2 linked regions of the Rattus norvegicus genome follow. The protein of the gene in region 2 interacts with the protein of the main gene of each other region in a biochemical or structural test. Links are inferred from orthologs where the notes say so. Each region holds a gene or a part of one and is shown on either strand. Other genes may lie near its edges. The genes, in order: Axin1 and Smurf1.

Region 1 (3,821 bases), on a different chromosome or scaffold from region 2:
TTTGTTTTTAGGATTCATTTTGTTCCGGTTACCTGACCCTGACATATGCCTCTCTAGCTCACTTTAGCTGGGACCAATTGGGGCTTTGTTGCTGTCTCCCCTTTGGATATGTTGAGATATATCAGATGTAGCAGAAAGGACCAGAGATCATAGCAGGGTCCAATCCAAATTTGAACAAATTTGCTCCCTTTTGCACACCCCACACGGCAACAAAGGTATAGGTGGTACAGTTTTCATTTGGCGGAGCTAAATCACATTTCTTGTATGCTTCTTTATTGAAAAAGCATACTTGTATTTGTAACTGATTTTTTTTTTCTGTACCTTTTCTGTCTTTCCAAAGTCACCATATGCTATCAGAAGGGAATCTTCTTGTAAGAGAGAAATTAGCAGCCAAGTACAGCTTTCTGAATCTCTAAAGTTGTCTGTGTAGACAATGCATAGATGCCTCTGAGTGTGGACTGTGTTCTTCCATCACTGGTCCAAGGTGTGCAAGGTAGCCAGCCTATGATCACTTGATCTCTTACTTGTTGAGAGCTGGAAGGACATCTTGCTGTGTGGTTGCTCATAAGGCATGCCAAGTATGAAAAATAATAGAATAGACAGAAAATAGAGACTCTGTTAAACTTGCCCTATGCCTGTCTACCTGAGGATCTGTAGTGTGCCTCTTCTTTGTTTCTGAGTGTCACTAGGGCAAGTGTGGTGATTGTCTTCATGGATGAGGGACCAACTGACTGATGTGATGCTGGTGACTGGGGACAGAGGCACCTTTTTCTAGCTTTCTTGTCCTCTTGACATTCATTTCTTTAGCCAGGATGGGTGATCTTCAGGCCTTACCACTGAAGGCATCCTTTGAAGGAGAGATGTCCCCCATGATCCAGACTTTCACTTAGTGTGAGAGGCAGTCTTGTAAAAGTTCCAGAAATTGCCTTAATGATAGAGCAAAAATTGTGGCCAAAATATGTCTCTGCTAGAAGTCTGCACTGAGTCTCTGCTCCAAGTGGGAGTGGGAGGGCATCCCTGCACATCTCAAGAGAACCTCTGGTGTTTCCATGGACCACCTTTCCTAATCCTTGTCCTCTTAATGGTTTTAACAGGAGAGATTGATTCCCTTGGGAGCTGTAAGTACTGAGGTATTAGGGTGCAGCGCTCATTGTTCACTGATGCAGAGTCCCAAAATGAATGTCCAGGAGCAGGGTTTCCCCTTGGACCTCGGAGCAAGTTTCACCGAAGATGCCCCCCGGCCCCCAGTGCCTGGAGAAGAGGGAGAACTGGTATCCACTGATTCGAGGCCTGTCAACCACAGTTTCTGCTCTGGGAAAGGTACCAGCATTAAAAGTGAGACCTCAACAGCCACCCCAAGACGTTCAGATCTGGATCTGGGATATGAGCCTGAGGGCAGTGCCTCCCCCACCCCACCATACTTGAGGTGGGCTGAGTCACTGCATTCCTTACTGGATGACCAAGATGGGATCAGCCTGTTCAGGACTTTCCTGAAGCAGGAGGGCTGTGCTGACCTGCTGGACTTCTGGTTTGCCTGCAGTGGCTTCAGAAAGCTTGAGCCTTGTGACTCAAATGAGGAAAAGAGGCTGAAGCTGGCAAGAGCCATCTACCGAAAGTACATCCTGGATAGCAATGGCATTGTGTCCAGACAAACCAAGCCAGCCACTAAGAGCTTCATAAAGGACTGCGTCATGAAGCAGCAGATCGATCCTGCCATGTTTGACCAGGCACAGACAGAAATCCAGTCCACCATGGAGGAGAACACCTACCCTTCCTTCCTTAAGTCTGACATTTATTTGGAGTACACAAGGACAGGCTCAGAAAGTCCAAAGGTCTGCAGTGACCAGAGCTCAGGGTCCGGGACAGGGAAGGGCATGTCTGGATACTTGCCCACTTTGAATGAAGATGAAGAATGGAAATGTGACCAAGATGCAGATGAGGATGATGGCCGAGACTCTGTCCCCCCCAGCAGGCTCACCCAGAAGCTGCTATTGGAGACTGCTGCCCCGAGGGCCCCCTCAAGTAGACGGTACAACGAAGGCAGAGAGCTCAGGTGAGTTCGGCACAGGGTGTCCATTTTCTCTACACAGCTCAGAGACCTGGCAAAGGAGCGAGGGAAAGGTGTTGGTAACAGGTGGCCTTGTTTTTAACCCCAGCTGAGATCTCTGCTGCTGCTGCTGCTGCTGCTGCTGCTGCTGCTGCTGAATTATAGTTTTATTTCCTACTTAGATACTTCATACTTGTTATTAGATACCTTCTTATATTTTGTGGCATTGAGAACGCAACAAACAAGACTTGCCAGGTGTAATCCCACCTACTTGGGAAGCTGAGGTAGGAGAATCGAAAAATTGTGTGTCATTCTGGGCAACTTGTAGAGATTCAAAATGAAAAAGAGTAAAGGCTTAGGAGAGTTCTTGCATAGCATGGAGGAAACTCTTTGAGTTCCCTCTTTAGTAACACGTGTACTACTAAATATAGGGCTTTGTGAATTATAAGCATATGGCTTGTGAATTATTAGAAGCGTGAGAATTCTTAGAAGCTATAATGGTTTGGTTTGTTTTTTTTTTTAAAGATTTATTTATTCATTATATATAAGTACACTGTAGTTATCTTCAAACATACCAGAAAAGGGCATCAGATCCCATTACAGATGGTTGTGAGTCACCATGTGGTTGCTGGGATTTGAACTCAGAACCTCTGGAAGAGCAATCAGTGCTCTTTTTTTTTTTTTTTTTTTGGGTTCTTTTTTTTTTTTTTTCGGAGCTGGGGACCGAACCCAGGGCCTTGCGCTTCCTAGGCAAGCGCTCTACCACTGAGCTAAATCCCCAACCCCGCAATCAGTGCTCTTAACCACTGAGCTATCTCTCTAACCCAGAAGTCATAATGTTTAAACTTTACCATTTAGCACAAAATTCATGTCTTCTTGCATAGAAGGATCTTAACCCTTAATAATGAGAGGGAAATACATTCAAATACATAGACAATTATAATTACTTTATTTTTATTTTAGATTCATTTAGTTTTTTTATGGGGATGAGTGTTTTGTATGTATGTATGTGCATATGTATGTGCACCATGTATGTGCCTGCTGCCCAGAAGGGGGTGCCAGATCCCCTGAGACTGGAGTTAACAGATGGTTGTGAGCCACCACATAGGTGCTGGTAATCAACTCATGCCCTCTATAAGAACAACAAATACTTTTAACTTTTCTTTTTCTTTCTTTTTTTTTTTTTTTTCAGAGCTGGGGACCGAACTCAGGGCCTTGCGCTTGCTAGGCAAGTGCTCTACCACTGAGCTAAATCCCCAACCCCCATACTTTTAACTTTTAACCCATCATTCCACTCCCTTCCACATCTTGCTAATTTTTTAGTCAGTACTTTGGATTCTTTCTGGAGGATGAGACAGTAGTGGGGCAGTTTAGTCTGTGTAGACAGTTGTTGGAGGGTTCAGAAACTCCTGATGGCTGTGCTTGGATTTCTAGAATTGGACCTTTTCCCTCCATGGCGTGATCTGCTGAAGGGAGTTCTGATTGTGTGTTCTGATGTATGCAACTTGAGCAGCATGATGGTGCTCTCCAGAAGAGAGCATAGCTTTGAAACTTGTTTCTTCACCTTTCTCTATAAAAAAAAAGGTATTTTTACACTTATTTGTGGTGCGTGTGTGTGGTGTGTGTGTGTGTCCATCCACCTTATATGTGGATGGGGGAGGCACTGACTTCAGGCTCAGGTGGCTAATATGTGGTAAGAGAAACTCCTTATAGGGGGCATTTTTAATCCTGTGAGTTCTGTGGATTGAATGTGGTCATTAGGCTTGGTGACAGA
Region 2 (2,686 bases):
AACAAAAACAACAAAACTACAAATGGAAACCTGGCTGCTGCCCTGCCTTCCACCAGAGCTCAGCTGTCTCAGTCCAGCTGCTCGGCTGTAAGAGTCAACGTCTGTGAAGCCGTGTGCGACCGGAAGTGCTGTTAGACGTGTTAGGCTGGCTTTGGCCTTGCTCGGAGACTGAGCAAGCAAACTGAGTAGAACTGTTAGCATCACCGCTGCCATGGGGAAGAGGGCCACGTAGGGAGGTAAAGCCCCCACCCTGTTGCCACGCGCCCCACCACACCCTGCTCTGTGCACAGCACCAACCCTGGGGAGCTACATCAGGGGACCCCAGGTCAGCGGCCTCTCCTGCTGTTCCACCCAATGGCTGCGGTGACAAAATTGTTCTGTTAGTTTAGCTCTTAGCAATCCCCATATGTGAGTCCATTTCAAGACAGCTAGGAGCCTCTGGATCCCCAGGCACAGAAACTGAGCTGGACCCAGGGGTCAGAGGCTGGTTTTGGTTATTCTTTGCTTAGCTCCATGACGTGATAATTTCAAACTGGGTAGGGAACACAGCAAATTGTACTTTTAAAGATTTTTTTCCCCTGCAAAACCTTATTTTTAGCCAGGACACTGTGAAAAGTACCCAGGCTTCCAGTGAAGGCTGTTGCAATTCCTTTACCTCTCAAAGGGGAAAACACATCGCCTCGAGTCTCCTACCATAGTGGAGTTCCAGCAAGCATTCACTGCCTTTACCTCCTGCTTGGAGATCCACCGGCTATCTGGACAGGCTGCAAGCCTGTGAGGCCTCTGGAATTTGAGATCAGTAAGCTATTGGCAGCTGCTGAACTTGAAAGGGGGCTTTGCGGCTACAGTTAGAGGGGGAGCTGGTACAGAGGCCACGCAAACCCTCGGGGCCCAGCTTGGCCCTGACCATGGTTGATGCTCCCGGAGACACCACAGCCTTACCACCATGCCAAGGAGGCTGAGGGCGAAACCTGGCTGCGTTTTATTGGATGGGTGATGGAGGAGTGGGCGAACTATAATAAAGGAGGAATAAATGGGTGGGAGCCACCTATGAAAGTCCCCTGGCCTGCCTTCTCCAAAGGAGGAGGGAGACGAGCCTTTTCCCTCGGTTTCTGGAATCTCAGGCCTCCGCCCGCCATGCGGGAGGCGCGCAGACGCCATATGCTTTGGGTCTGGTGGTTGTGAGCAAGACTCTGTGGCCACGGGCTGCTCTTCACTCCACGGCAAAGCCACAGGTCTCCTCTACCGCTGTCAGCAGCTTCTCATAGAGCTTCTCATAGGACTCATAGGGTGGGATGTCAATCCGATTAAAGCTGAAAAGGAGCAAAGGGGCCAGAGTTACTGCTGGGAGCCTCTGGGCCTTCAGACTCTCTGACGGTGAGTCATGAGTGGGATGTGCTGTCTACCTCCCCTGGGAAGATGCATGCCCACTTCAGCTTTCAACCCAGGCTCCTGTTGGCTGTGTCTGTTTCTTCTGGTCAGCCCACAGCAAAGTGTCAAGAGCTACACGATCAACGTGTAAGCCTGCCCATTTTCTGCTCGCTGTTCTGTGTCTGGGTGTGATTTCTCCACACTGGAAAGAACCCTGGCCTGCCTGTCATCTGCACTGGTGACCGTCAGGTCTCCCGCTGAGGGTCAGTCAATCCCCACTACAGCACGCTCAGTCTGGAAGGTGAGAGAATGCCAAATCCTAGAAAGATGGGTGTGTCCCAACCTTCCCACTCAAGATGTCCAGGGGAAACTCCTTTCAAGTATGTGTGCAAAAACACACACCACATCCATTGTCTTGCTGTAATTTAAAAGCCAATAAGCAGAAAGGCAGTGGCACAAAGTGGTCAGGACTGGTATTAGAGACTGAGTGAAGGCTGCGTTGTTTGTTTTCTTCATTCTCTCCCCCCCCCCCTCCCTCCTAGATCAGAGATGCTAAGTTACTGAAGGACGGAGCCTTGTGAAGGGCCGAGTGCCGGGCTTCCATCCCACACACCTATTCTGTAGGAACGCGCGCCATACCATGCTGAGGCAGCCTTGAGGTCTTATATACGGTCCTGGGGTGAACAACGGTTGGGATATATTTAAACCACTCATCTTCATTAAGTCACAGCCAGCATTTAGGCCTCTGTCCTACCGTGTAGCGCCCCAACCACCTTGGGAACTAGGACCCGGGAGGGGAGGTAACAGCCCTGAGACAGGAAATGTGGAGCTTCTCATCGGACAGACAACAGCGCCCTCTTCCGCTGGCAGTGCACGCATGCATGACACACAACCAAGGGACACCCAGGAGCCTTCAGGGTACAGCTCCAAGTGTGGCACCACAGCTTTAACTGCTGTACATCACAACAAAACTGGGTTCCCAGATCAGTGAGCCCGGGGGCCCTGCTGACTCAAGTCCTGTTTAGCCCCGGGTGCGATCTGAGGTTACGAGGAGGACAGCTCGAAGGCCGCGCGTCCCCGCTGCCCCCGCACCCCCGCAGCCCGAGGCAGAGCTTACCAGGTGTGGGCCTTGGGCAGGTTGTCGGTGTTGGCGTCAATCAGGTGGATGGTGAAGAGCCGGGGCCCTGCCGCGCCTGTAGAGCCTTACAAGACAACATTCCAGTCACTGCGCCTCAGGGGCAAACCTTGGGCGGAGGCCCTGGGCAGGAGGCATTCTTAGAGCCCCCACATATGGCCTGCCCGGGAACCTCTTTGT

What was found.
Region 1: of the proteins of Smurf1 (region 2) and Axin1, one has a biochemical effect on the other in vitro, tested with the Homo sapiens proteins (2 studies listed by BioGRID, with this or other methods). The link is inferred for Rattus norvegicus from reciprocal best matches to the Homo sapiens genes SMURF1 and AXIN1.

Annotation. Positions count from the first base shown.
Region 1 is NC_086028.1:15,670,806-15,674,626, forward strand, and holds part of Axin1 (axin-1), read left to right. Parts: intron 1-1,094; 5' UTR 1,095-1,160; coding exon 1,161-2,053; intron 2,054-3,821. UniProt on the Homo sapiens protein: Component of the beta-catenin destruction complex required for regulating CTNNB1 levels through phosphorylation and ubiquitination, and modulating Wnt-signaling.
Region 2 is NC_086030.1:14,835,909-14,838,594, reverse strand, and holds part of Smurf1 (E3 ubiquitin-protein ligase SMURF1), read right to left. Parts: intron 2,574-2,686; coding exon of another isoform or gene 2,565-2,573; coding exon 2,489-2,564; intron 1,314-2,488; coding exon 1,214-1,313; 3' UTR 1-1,213. UniProt on the Homo sapiens protein: E3 ubiquitin-protein ligase that acts as a negative regulator of BMP signaling pathway. Mediates ubiquitination and degradation of SMAD1 and SMAD5, 2 receptor-regulated SMADs specific for the BMP pathway.